Caenorhabditis elegans: one gene and its partner. The protein of the gene in region 1 interacts with the protein of each later gene in a pairwise test. Each region holds a gene or a part of one and is shown on either strand. Other genes may lie near its edges.

Region 1 (7,034 bases):
ACTTGCGTAGACAATTCCAGATTAAAACTGCCGATAACTATGAGCTCATCGGTTCAATCACCAAAAAGTGGGGTGGTGTACTTCGTGAGGCGTTCACTGACGCGGACACTTTTGCCGTCTTATGTAGGTTTAATTGAAAAAAGCTAAAATAACCCCTGGCTATTATCAGTCCCCGCCGACTTTGATGTCAAGCTCAAGGCTGTGCTCCTTGGAGCCACGTTTTTGATTGTGAGTTTTTTTGGTTTTTAGGGCAGCCGGTAAATATTTCAAACATCTCTTTCACTTGGTACACCATGATCTCATCTAAGTATGCAAGGTACTCTAGGCCGGCGGGAACCCCTTCAATTGCTGGGAGCGCTTCCATTCAGATGGATCCTGGAGCCGCTTGTATCGGAGCTCCCGGTTGAGTTGTAATAACAGCTCGGTCTTGCAGTTCAACGTAAACCGGTGGAGCAGGGTTAAGAAGTTCTTGCTCCATTTTTTCAACCTGAAAATTTTGCAAATAGAGCTGATCCTGTAGCAAAGGGCTCGCGGAGCAAAGCGTTTTGGAGCACATTTCATAGTGAGCAAAAATACACATTTCGTGAATTTTACACTTTAAATAATCAATATATGTAGTAAACTATTTGAATTATCGATTTTTCAAAAACAATTTATTTTTGATATATAATTTTGTGAGAAAAAAGTGGGTGGGACAGACACTGAAAACTAGAAGAAATGGGCGGGGCTTGGAGACCTGAGAGTGGGCGGGGCTTAACAAGGAAATGTGGGCGGAGTCTGAAGGAAAGTGACGTCATACATATATTGGAAGAATGCGTTGGAATAATAAGAAAAACGTTTTTAAAAAAGTTGGCTTTTAACAATTACAGTCACAATTGCAATCACAACCATCGGGGCAGCAGCATGCGGAGCTTGCTGTACCTTTAAGAAGAACTGTAATAGGCTCCTGGAATTAAAAAAAGGTCAATTGACAAAAAACCGGGATTGCATACCAAATTATGCTCTAATCACCGAAAAACACAGCAAAAATGTAAAGCAAATGGTAGAGGGTTAAGCAGACGGACGGTTAGACTGAAAAAGCAAAAAAAAATTGATAATTCAAGCGAAAATCCATAATTATCCCAAAAATCAATAATTTGGACGAAAATTCATATTTTAGGGAAGACACCAATCCTTTTTCAATATTCGATAATTTTCACATAAATCAATAGTTTTTTTTAGACAAAAGTTGATAATTTAAGCAAAAATCAATAATTTCCACAACAAAAAAACTTCTGTTAGCAAAAAGCGATAATCACAAACCTCCGTTATTGCGGTTTTGGCTCTGTTGCTCAAACTCCATGAAATCCTGAAAAATTAGCAAAGTTACAGTAATTCTACAGCAACCAAACTTACAATCAAAAACGTGGCTCCTATCAGTACTCCTTTGAGTTTGACGTCCAGGTCGCCGGGGACTGAAAATTGCAAGAATTATTGATTGTATGGACGGGGGCGACTTACAGTTGACGGCGAACGTGTCGGCGTCGGTGAACGCCTCTCGGAAGCAACCTCCCCATTTTTTGGTGATCGCGCCGACAACTGTGCCGTTGTTGGCGGTTTTGATCTGAAAATTTTGAGGGTATTGAAGCAGCGGACATTTTAGGGGGATAGGATCTTCAGCCGGTAGCTCACTGGCTTCCCGACAGACCCGCAAAGTGTCGGCTGCTCGGCAACCGCTGTTTCTTGGGTTATTCGACAAAGCCGCTAGGTGTCGGCTGCACAGCACAAGTCAGCAAAGCAGGTGGTTCAAGCAGCCGACACTTTACGGGTGGCCAGTAATCCTAGTAAATTGCGGCCGACGCCTCACTGGCAAAACCTCAGATAAAGGGCCGGTGAAAATTTTGGGATTTTCAATACATTCACAGCCTCAGGTAATATTTAGCGGCCGACATTTCACAGCACCTTGCAATCAGACAAGCTAGCATGTACCTTGCAGCCGACACCTCTCAGGACCCTAGAACTTCACCTACCGGAAACTCCTTATCCTGACATCCGCAAAGCATGCAACAGCATGGACCATCAATCTGGAAGATCACATTTCCATCTCCATCCATAATATCATAATTCGACGACATGCATCCACACCGCTGACGGATGATACCCAGAACACCCATCGATGGGGTCTCGATGATACATTCCTGCTGGCAGCATCCGATGCATGCCAAGCATCCACAGCAACCACCTCCGCAACACTTGAACTCACGCTTGATGGTCAGAACTTCCTGGAAAATTTGAAATTTCAGAGCATGTGGATCAATTTTGGCTTGGTAGGCCTGAAAATTTGGGCTCAGGATTGCTCCGCGAGCTTGTTGAACCAGATGCTCCGTGAGCTTACCCTCTTAAAGTTATCCACAATATGCATGACGAATCCACGTTGCGGTCCACAGCACTGTCTCTCACAGCATCCGGACTCCTCGAACGCGTAGTAACACTGTTCTCCATTTGCATTCTTGAGCACGTACTTGTTCTTGGTCTCCCAGTCCGTCACAATCTCGATGAGCTCCTTGATTTGATGCACCATGATTGTATCCAAGTAGGTAAGATACTCCAGGCCTGTAGGCACACCTTGGATTGCTGGTGGCATTGGCATCCACACGGAGCCAGGAGCCGGCTGCACAAAGACACCTGGCTGAGTTGTGATTGCTTGTTGGTGCTGCTGCTGATGCATTTCGAATTGTTGCACTGGATTCATACCCTGTGGGTTGTAGCCCGGTTGTTGGTTTATTACTGGTTGCTGCATGGTTATTTTCTGAAAAAAAAACACTTGAAAAATGAACAAAGCACAGTAGATTTAGAAAAAATTTCAAGATAAAAATCAGCAGGAGGAAAGTTCTGGGGCACCTAGACTTTTTGTAGAATCAAATAGTAAAGTTTTTATGGGCTCGCGGAGCAACAGGAACTGATACAATTCAGCGCTACAATCTGGTAAGCATAGTGATTCACGTGACGTGAAAAAAAAGATGCTCCGTGAGCTTGCACAAAAATGTTTTCGAATTTGATCTAAATTTACAAAACTTCAGCTTTAAAGCTTTCAGCTCGCGGAGCACCAATTGAGCTCAGTCTTAAACATTCTTAAAATTAGAAAATATGGCTCTCAAGCTCCTGAAAGCTGAAATCAAATTTCATAATAAAAAGCTTTACATATCAAAAGTTCAATGACGCCATACAACTCAATGATTAGAGGGGAATAAGGAGAAGCAATTTGTGCACGGCACAGACAATTTTAAATCTGATTAAAACAACCTCTATTTCTGGCTCTCAGAGCACCAAATTCAGATGTGGGCTCAATCTTGCTAGATTCAGCTAGCTGAAAGCTTTAGTTTGACACCCATAATGCCTATGCTACCTCAAACTTAATGTAGGGCTCTGTTGCTCCGTGAGCACAGAACACTCCAAATCGTAATTAATCCTGCTGCTCAATTCACTAAAAATTTGAAAACTTGGCATCCATATTGTATAGATTACTTTAGTTTGAAAATTTCCGCTTTCATGCTTCCGTGGAGCACCAAAATGCTTCGCGAGCTCAACGTGAAAAATATTGAAACCTAGGCAATATGGGGCTTGAATTGACGCTCTAAGGGAGCTGAACTTATAATAAAAATTTTATGATAAAAATTAACAATGGCGTTATTTTTTTAAACAAAAAATTGCGGAGCACCAAAATGCTCCGTGAGCTCAATATGGAAAACACTGAAACCTAGGCAATATGGGGCTTAAATCAAAGCTCTTAAAAAGCTGAACTCAAATTCGTATTAAAAAAAAAATTTAGTGATTGTGAATAAAATAGAAAATAATGTGGGTAATTTCAGACAACGTTTTTGGAATTATGTATACCCTTAGGGTTTTAGTTAAAATATACCCATTTTGTCTGAAATTACCCACATTATTTTCTATTTTATTCACAATCACTAAATTTTTTTTTAATACGAATTTGAGTTCAGCTTTTTAAGAGCTTTGATTTAAGCCCCATATTGCCTAGGTTTCAGTGTTTTCCATATTGAGCTCACGGAGCATTTTGGTGCTTCGCAATTTTTTGTTTAAAAAAATAACGTTTTTGGAATTATGTATACCCTTAGGGTTTTAGTTAAAATATACCCATTTTATCATATTATCAGAGGTTCCACTAAAAAGTAGATACTAAGAATGGTTTTTCAATGAAAAAATGGGCGAAACATTTTCACCAGTTTTCCAAAAAATCATAAGTCAGCCAGCTAACTACACAAACAAAAGGGTTGCGTGGCCGGAATACGGAAAAGATCAAAAAATTAGGAGAGACGCAGAGAAATCAAAGATTTTCAGCTGTCTACTTGCGATAGCTACCATGGTAACCATTTAATACATATGATTAAGGCCAAACAACACTTTTTTTCGCTTTTTTTGTTGAATTAAAAAACGTGTTTGAATCATAGAGAAAGTAGGGGAGAGAAATGGAAAAACGTGAAAAATGAAAGAGAAAAAAAAACCAATGAAATTTGAACAGAAAACAGTGGTGATTCAGCAAATATACAAAATACAAAACTACTTTTTTTTGAGTGACGTCACTTTTTATTGCGAAAGTTGCTCGGAAAGCTCAGAAATAATATCATAGAAGTTTTTGAGAACTTGAAAAAATTCGAAAATTAGAAAATTAAATTGAAAAAAAAAAATTTTTCATAAAATTTTTAAAATTTTCTAATGGAAAATAATATATTTTTCAAAGGGTTTCTTAATTTTTTTTTGGAAATTTTTAGAGTTTTTTCCGTGTACAAAGGTTTTACAGGCTCAATTGGATTTTCTGAAAATTTCGAACAAAATTCATTTTTAATTTTTTTTTGTGTAATTTGAAAATATTCCAATATTAAAAAAATATTTTAGAAGGTTTCTTGTATTTTCGGAGTTTTAAAGCATTTTTGAGAGAAAAAAATTGGAAATTTTCTGGAATTTTTTTTCAGGGAAACAGGTTATTTTTCAGAGTAGATTTTTAGAAATTTAAAGAAATTTAACTATTTTCGTGCAATTTAAATTTTTTTCTTTAACTAATATATTTTTAACAGAGCTTTTTTTCCATTTTGAGAATTTTATAGATTTTATGAGAAACACTTTTTTTTAGAAACACAAAACAAGTTTTTTTTCACTAATTTTTTTCCGAAACAAATATTGTCTAGACACAGGTACGCGGGTACCCATGACGAACAAAAACAACCCGATCAGATGCGATTTTTGACCCATCGCTAATTGGGCAATTTTTCTGCGGAACCGGTTTCAATTCTGTGGGGTAAATCTTTGCCTCTTTTTAATCTAAATAACAATTTAATTTTGGCAACACTTTTCTTTTTTTTGGATTAATTTTCATGTAAAATTTACAATTTAGGATTTAATTTTAATATTATTTTTTAAGAAAAAAATTGCAATGTTTTTGTATTTTTTCAGTCCGAAATTTGCAGAAAAAAATTCATTTTGAAAGTTAAAAAATCCTAACAAATCAGGAGAAAACAAATTAAAAACACTCGGAAGTTGAAAAACTAAAGAAAATAAATTCCACAAAAAACTGGTCGAAAATGAGAAACATTTGTTTTGTTGTGGCTAAAAGAGCGTGAAACAAAGAGAGAGGGAGAGGACGCAGAGATAAAAAGGCACCTAGAGAGTGTTGGGGTGGTGAGAGACGCAGAGATGAAGAGGGAAAGGGAGGAGACTAGACACAAACATATGAGGAACACACGTTGCAGGGGTGTGTTCTGGTGTACTAAACCAAACGGGAAATTATTTTTTCAAGGTTTTTAATTAAAAGTAGACAAATGATATCTGCGCATTTCTGAGCATTTACCTTACTTGAGCCAGCAGAAATTTCAGAAAACAAATTTTTTTCCGATGCAAAATTTAACACTGAACATTTTGCTAGTTGAAAGTTTTTTGATATCTTTAGCCGTTTTTGAGATAATTTGGTTCAAAGTTTGAGGTGGAAGAGAGTGTGGGAGAGAGGAGACGCAGAGGGTTAGACACACTGCGTCTCCCCTCCCTCCACGCTATCTCGCGCTAAACTTTAAAACATTGTATCTCTGATACCGCTGAAGATATTTAAATTCTTTCAACTGAGGAAATACTTTAAAACTTATGAGCTTCACATTTTCAAAAGCAAAATAAAATAACACTTTGATAAAATAGTAGGATTTAGGGAAAATGCGGCAGACACTACTTGTTAGTGAGCAAATATTGGCGAGCGCTCATTTTTTGATATGTTTTTTCTTGTTTTACTGATGCTTGTTTAGGCCCTGAGCAAGAAAATTTTGCTCTAAAAATGTTAAAAAATGACGCCAGTGGAAGTAGAACAATTTCGAAACAGGAAAACTAATTTGAAATTCTTTTCATACCTGAAACATTTAAAAACATGCTTTTGTTTTTTGGCTTAATTTAAATTTCAAATGAGTCTAAAGTACGTAAAGTGAAGACTGTCTAGTTTTGGCAAACGAAAAATAATTTTGCAAGGCTGAAAATAGGGTTTGTAATCCTTTAAAAAACTATTGTTAAAAACTTTTATTTTTACAAAATATTTAAAAAAAAATCATAATTGAAAACCCGTGAATAAAATGTATGTCATAAAAATTATAAATTGAAAAATCCCAAAATTGTCTGCTTCAGCTTGGTTATTTCAGATATTTTCAGTTCAAATCCGTCTTGTTTTGAACTTGCTAAGAAGCTCAGCGGAGCATTCAATGGGGATTCCGGTAGAACACACCAGCAACGATGTTGGAAGCATTTTGGGATTTCTTGGATCTGAAAATTTGCTTTTTTTTAGACATTTTTTTGCACATTTTTTGCACATTTTTCCACATTTTTTGCACTTTTTTTGGACATTTTTTGCACATTTTTTGCACACTTTTGCACATATTTTGCACATTTTTGCACATTTCTTGCACATTTTTTGCAAATTTATGCACATTTTTTGCACATTTTTTGCATTTCGCCCCAAAAATATTCAAAATTCCGAGAACAATAATTTTTAAAATAATTTTTGAACA
Region 2 (6,977 bases), on another chromosome or scaffold:
GAGCCTCTCGTGATCGAGCACAATAACCACGTCGACTTCAAATGCCGATGCCGCTTTTACAATGCATTTGTATCTGAAATTGAGCTATTTTAAACAGATTTTCAGCGAAAAAAACGACAAACCCTTCCCCATCAACCCATCCACAGGTGTTAATGATCATTCCGCCGATTTTGGCTTCATCATTCTCCTGAATTTGTGCATTTAGTGTAGTTGCCATCTCTTTGAACAATGCTTCGTAGAGAGATAGATTTGCCGACGGAGAAGTGTGCCCAAACTGGAAAAAATTGGGAAAAATTGTGAATTATTTGATAAATTTAAAGCCTACATTAAAGACAATCGGCTGATTTCTCTCGAATCCATCAATGACGTCGGCTGTTTTTTGTACAAGAACAGCTGCAACTGTTCCGGGCACCGAAACGCTGTTCTGACCGACATCGAGCTCCACAAATATCGGGGTACGTCCTTGGCGAACCGAATAGTTGCACAGAATACGGGAGACTGTGGTTTTTCCGACGTCCGTTGGTCCAACTGGAAAATTAATTATTTTTTGGGTTAAAAATCAGTAAAAAACCGGAAAACAAGGTTTTTTCTACATTTTTCGAAGCCAAACATAAAAATAAATTACTTAAATTCCGAAAAAAAATAAAATAAAAAGGTGGGCGGGCCGTGCGGCACGGTTGCAAAACAACCGTGCCAGGCTTGCAAATAGCCCCCGCCCCTTGAAAATATTGATTTTTCCAGTATTTCAAATGATTTTTACTCGATTTTCCTGCAGAAACCACAGAAATTTTCAGTTTTTCGACGAAAAATCTCCAAAAAAAGCCTAGAATCAGCTCACCCAACAGCAATCTCGGTCCTTTTGCCTTATTCGAGTTTCCAGCCGCCTGTTCCTCTCTCTTCTTCCGAACTTCTTCCATAGCTGCGTGAATATTCAGATAAATGACCATCGGAGTGCTCTCGGCAACGTATGCGCTCTCGGTTGTGCCGACGAGCTCAATTGTGGCGCCTTTCCACGTGAACGCCGCCACACGAGATTCTGAGGAAAAATTGGGTTTTAAATGGCAGAAAATGGGCCGAAATTGACTTTTATGGCCAAATCCATTGGTGTTTCTCAATTTTTTTCTGTGATATTTGATTTAAAACACTGTTTTCCAGACTTTTCCGCATAAAACAAATGATTACATCTGAAATTATCGATTTTTAGGCCAAGTTTCAAGATGAAGTTTCAGCGAATTTCTCTACTTTAACCGCAAAGAAACACGCTAAAACTTGGAAATTGACCTAAAAGTCGATAATTTCACAGAAATTTGTGCTTTTTCTGCGGAAACATTAGGAAAACAGTGTTTCAAGCGAAATATTACAGAAAAAAAACGGAGAAAGAGCAATAAATATAGCCAGAAAACGGGAGTTTTTGAAAAGTTGAAAAAAAATCCAGATTTCGAGGAAAACTTACTGGCTGGAAATGTATATTTCTTATTTAACAGCAGTTCTGTGCCAAAAATTTCAGCGTATCCCTTGACGAGCTCCAGACAGACATCCGAATCGTCTCCGGCGGCAAATCTCAGCTCACAGTCCTCTTTCAAAACGAACTCTTGAACATTCTCCTCGCTCATTTCTTTGGAATCTGAAAATGAGGCTTTATTGATTTTTTAATTTTCAGGAAAAAACGCGGAATTAGATAAAGCAAAGACATAGTTAATTTACAAAAAATTTGGGATGCGGAAAACTACAAAAGAAGAAAAAAACAATGGGTTTATTATTTTTGGAGGAGAGAAACCTCAAAACAGAACAAAAAACTAAGGAAAATAAACGAGCTGAAAGAAAATGTGCTACTTATTTAGATTACCTAAAAACGTCAACAGTAAAGTTATAAAAGACAGAAAAAACAAAACAATTGAAAAAATTTCAGAAAGCAATCTATTTGGAGATGAACTTCTTGATCTTGTCGAGAAGTCCAACGTATTGAGAGTGCTCGTAGTGAGTGGCATAGGCGACGAGAGTCTTGCAGAACCGAGCATCGAGACCGCGTTCTTCCAAATAACGAACGAACAGGAGATCGTGGAGGTCCTGGAATTAGAAAAAATCAATAATTTGCGGTCCTCTTGGGACTACTAACTGGATCGATATATTTTCCACTGCTAGCGTACACCTCGGATGGTACGTCCTCGTTTCCATTCTTGGCAGATGGGGCGACGTAGAACTCTTCGACGCGGAAATCATCTATAAATAGTATATATTTTATTCGAGTTTTCGATAAAATCGAGTATTACACTCATCAGGTTGATCGTCAACTGGCACAAGCTCGAGATGGAAGCAAAGTCTCTGATCTCCCTTGGTAATCTCGACGGTGAATGGTGGCATGGCTACTGGAACTGGAGCGACGGCCTGGGATGGCTCATCGTCGAATCCTTCGTCCATATCGACAGAGTGGTTCACATTGAAGACGACGAGAATGCTTTAAAAAAATTAACTTTAGAACTATGAAAAATTCTGAAAAAAACGAACTCTTCGCTTCCATTCTTCTTGGTCAGCCTAACTTCGGCGTCCTTATTGGTGACTTGGAAGCCAGCAAATGTCGGCGCAACGGCTCCTTGAAGATTGTCGCTGCTCAGCTGTTGCTCGGCTTCGATCTCACGGTTCAGGGCCTGTTGAAGTTCTGGCGTTACTGACAGAACCTTGGCCGATTGTGAGAAATGGCGTGGAGCGGCCATTCTGACGACCTGGGATGAACGGAGAGCCACTCGGGACAGGGAGCGAACAAGGGAAGCAGTGTTCATTTTACCTGAAAGAAGAAAAAAATAGAAAATTACATTTTCCAAAAATGATGCAAGTTTTTATCGAGCTAAAAATCAAGATTATCAGGTTATAAAGCGTTTCTAATTGATTTTAGGCTAATTTAGTTGTCAAAAATCAATAATTTCAATGAAAAACCTCGAAAAAATCAGTGGAAGCGTGCAGAACCGAAGAAAAAGCGAGAGAATATGCGAAAAGCCGACGAAAATAATTCAAATAGAGCCTTTCGTGGCAAGATATCTTCGCCGCAAAATGGCATGCGCCTTTAACTTGGCGCGCTTTGGAATTGTGTTCAAACGTTTTTCAGCCATATTTTCTCATTTTAAATCGATTTTTTCTTGTTTAAAATGATTTTAAAGTGCGTTTTCTTTGAAATTATTGACTATTGGGCTTAAAATTATATAATAAAACTGAAAATTGCCAGAAAAATCGATTTTTTGTTGTAAAAACATGGAATAGAGCTGCGCAGCTGGCGCGATGAGTCATGAGTCATTTGAAAAAGCAGCATTGCGAAATTTATGTTTAGAATTTTTTGAAGATTATTGATTAAACTAGGAGATTATCGATTTTAAGGAATATTTTTATACTTTTGAATTTTCGAATTTCGTGTTTCTGGCTAAAATCGTTGGTTTTTCTCGATTTTTCATTAATTTTCAGTTTTTCAGAAGTTTTTTCGTCTAGAAAACTTGTTTTCTGGCATTTTTCGGAATTTTTGAAGCTTCAGTGTATTTATTTCGAGGTCATAGCGTTTTTTAAACGGAAAAACTCTTTAAAATTCGAAAAATCATGTTTTAAATCAAATAATAATGAAAAATCTAGAAAAACCGATCTAGAAAACATTTATTTGCGCGGGAATTCAAAAATTATTCGGTTTTTTGTTGGAAAAATTAAAAAATCAAACAAAATTCAGGAAATCTTTATTAATTTTTCAGCAGTAATGTCCTGTATAGTGAGGATTTTTTCTGTCATTTAGGGCAAAAACTGGCGTACTTTCAAATTTAAAAAACCATTTTTTCGGTATTTCATAGTGTTTAGACCCCAAATTCCGTTCCCAAAACCTCCCAGAAATTAAATCGTATTCCGTATTCCGTCGGAATATCTTGTTTATCGGCAAGTCATCATATATACCTCCTCATTCCAATGTCCTTTCACACACATTCGAAAGGAACTGTCTCCGTATAAATACACAACGAATGGGAACTGTCTTCTCTCCGTCTCTTCACTCTCTTCACTGCTTCTCCCGTCGTTCCGAAGAATATCGATTGTTTTTCCGCTCTTTTCCGTTTATGTTATGTTTGCCAGTCATGTGAATCACTTCATAACGTTTTTTCTGCTTTCCGGAGAGAATTCTCCATTTTCTGCTACAGTTTTGAGGAAAAAAAAATTGCATTTCGTCGCATTTAATGTGAATTTTGGCCGGGGGAAAATATTAAACAATCTACATTTTTATACCGGGAATTGGGTGGGCGGCAAGTGCTGTTCGGCAAATCGCCAAATTGCCGGTTTGCCGATTTGCCGGAAATGTGTAGAGGCACTTTTTATAAGACGGAACCACTTAAAACTGCCTTTTTGGAATTTATATCCCGCTTTTTAAAGAAATTTTCATAGAAGTTGCTTATTTTTCAAAATAGACGTAGGAACATTCATAGGGTGCGTACAATTTTGCCGATTTAAATTGAAATTCTGAAATTTCCAAAAAAAGGTGCAAAACCACATTTTGCCGAAAATTTTCGGCACCTGTCGTTTTTCCGGCAGTTCGCCGATTTGCCAGAAATTTTAATACCGGCAATTTGCCGATTTTCCGGAAATTTTGAACTCCGGCAATTTGCTGATTTGCCGGAAATTTCAATTCCGCCAATTTGCCGATTTGCGGGAAATTTCCATATAGGCAATTTGCTGATTTGCCGGAAATTTCAATTCCGCCAATTTGCCGCCCACCCCTGACATTAACATTAATTGAAAATAATTGATGATTTTTCCAAGTTTTGCAAAAAAATTCCGGAACTTTTAAACTGATTTTCCTTGTTTTTTTTGCCGAAAAACGAAAAAGTGCAAATTTTAAATAATTTACGCTCCGTTTTTCCTCATTTGACATCCTAAATATGCCCTCCGCCTATTAGATTCTAATCTTTTCTCCGTTTCTCGGTCATTTCCCTCAAAAATGTGTCATATTTCGGTTCAAATCCCCTTTCCAAGGCGACAAACGCTGAGAATCAATATTTCCTTCGAAAACCTCGCTTCCAATCGTAATAGGAAACAAAAAAACTGAAACAAAACATTTTTTGCGGCGGTGACTCACCGCTTTTTCGTTATCAAATAATATTTTCCACGCCCCGCATCTTTTCAGTTTTTTTTCACATTTTTTTGGTTTCTACCATCTTCATATTTCATCGTTTTTTGAGAGAATATCAATTTTCGTTTCAAAAATACTGCTAATAAACGATAAATTAGCGATTTCAATGCTAAAAACAATATTAGTTTGCAAAAATTATCAAAATTTCGGCCAAAAATTGAAATTCTCACAAAAAAACAACGGAAACTTTTTTCCTCTTTTCCTCGAGGAGTCTAGACGTTTTTTGCATCAAAAAAAGGTCTCGACACGACAAATTTTCATTAAATTCAAAGTACTGTATTCCCGAATTTTCATTGATTTTTCGAGAAAAAAAATCCAATTAGTAAAACTACAGTACTCTTTAAAGGCGCTCACCTTTTAGTATTTAACATAAATTTGTCGTGTCGAGACCTTATTTTTTCCTCAAAAATCGCAAATTTTCAAATTTTTGCAGTAAGCCATGGCCTCCCGCAAAACCGTAAACCGCCGTCAACGGCCACAAAGAGCCACTTCCAATGTGTTCGCCATGTTCGATCAGGCTCAAATTCAAGAGTTCAAAGTAGGTGACAGCCTCATTTTTCGTTTTTTTTTTCGAAAAAATAAAAATTTAAAAAGACGAAAAATCCATTGGTTTCAGCGGAATTTTTAAAGAACAATTAAAATAAATTCAATTTCAGGAGGCATTCAACATGATCGACCAAAACCGCGATGGATTCATCGATCAAGAGGATCTGAAGGATATGTTCGCTTCCCTTGGAAAAGAAGTCACCGAACAATTCATCGATTCGATGATTAACGAGGCTCCCGGAGCACAGCCGATCAATTTCACAATGTTCCTGACACTTTTCGGTGAAAAATTGACTGGAACGGATCCGGAGGAAGTCATACGGAATGCGTTCCAATGCTTCGATGAGGATAATTCGGGAAAACTCAATGAGGAGCATCTTCGCGAGTTGCTCACCACGATGGGCGAGAGATATTCCGAGGAACAGGTTGATGAGCTCTTTAGAGATGCTCCGATTAAGGTATAATCGCTGTAACTTCGGAACGAAAAAAAGAAGGGAAACAGGAGTTTCTGGCTCGAAAAGCTTGATTTTGGACCTCTTAAAATCGTGGAAAATTCAGAGATTTTCGATTTATCAGCCGGAAAATTTGGTGTCGATTTACGCCGGTCGTGTACTCCTAGTGAAGAAGTTTTTGCTTCTTTATTTTGCAAAAAATTGCGATAATTTTCGCTTTTTATTGTAGATTTTGAAGGAAAAAAATCGATGTTGAAATTACTTGTTTTTTCAACAGAAAAAAGTGCAAACTTCTCCACGGGGAGTACACGATCTGCGTAAATCGACACAATTTTCTATAAAAAAAACACATATTTTTACCAAATTTTCCAATGCAAAATAGTTTTTTTTAAATCCTAAAACCCTAAAATATTTATTTTTTCCTGAAAAATAAGCCAATTTTCAATTTTTTTTTTCTCAGGGCGGACAATTCGACTACGTGGAGTTCACTCGTATGCTCAAACACGGAACCAAGGACAAGGATGAGGCTTAAACTGGCTCGCAAACTCACACAAAATTCTCGAGTTTTTCAAGATTCAGTTCGCTTACACACGCTTTCTTTTTCGCCTCAAATAATTATTATCATTCATGCTTTTTTTCACACCATCTATTTATTGTTGTATTCCACTTCCCCCAATACCATGTGCATAAATAAACTCGAAAACGGTTGATTTTTATTGTAATTTAAAGCTATAATCTTTAAGGATTTTTTCACAGATTCGTTTCTCGGGAAGTTTCAATCATCACAGGAGGGTATTGATGAGCTCGTCATTCGTCGGATTTAGAAGCATTAT

The links. The genes of interacting proteins can lie anywhere in the genome.
Region 2: the proteins of scrm-1 (region 1) and cri-3 interact in a two-hybrid assay, tested with the Caenorhabditis elegans proteins (2 studies listed by BioGRID).

The regions. Positions count from the first base shown.
Region 1 is NC_003279.8:11,688,043-11,695,076, forward strand, and holds scrm-1 (Phospholipid scramblase), read right to left. Parts: upstream 2,789-7,034; 5' UTR 2,780-2,788; coding exon 2,375-2,779; intron 2,262-2,374; coding exon 2,010-2,261; intron 1,604-2,009; coding exon 1,501-1,603; intron 1,455-1,500; coding exon 1,396-1,454; intron 1,349-1,395; coding exon 1,303-1,348; coding exon of another isoform or gene 1,295-1,302; exon of another isoform or gene 1,072-1,294; coding exon of another isoform or gene 1,067-1,071; exon of another isoform or gene 947-1,066; coding exon 924-946; 3' UTR 640-923; downstream 1-639. Other genes in the region: T22H2.4 (4Fe-4S ferredoxin-type domain-containing protein), read right to left, coding at 6,680-6,955.
Region 2 is NC_003281.10:3,392,390-3,399,366, reverse strand, and holds cri-3 (Conserved regulator of innate immunity protein 3), read right to left. Parts: upstream 2,783-6,977; 5' UTR 2,778-2,782; coding exon 2,506-2,777; intron 2,456-2,505; coding exon 2,271-2,455; intron 2,221-2,270; coding exon 2,117-2,220; intron 2,068-2,116; coding exon 1,918-2,067; 3' UTR 1,740-1,917; downstream 1-1,739. Other genes in the region: Protein clpf-1, read right to left, coding at 1-73, 123-274, 326-528, 839-1,036, 1,454-1,613; mlc-4 (Myosin regulatory light chain), read left to right, coding at 5,586-5,684, 5,803-6,150, 6,605-6,676; elmd-1 (ELMO domain-containing protein C56G7.3), read right to left, coding at 6,927-6,977.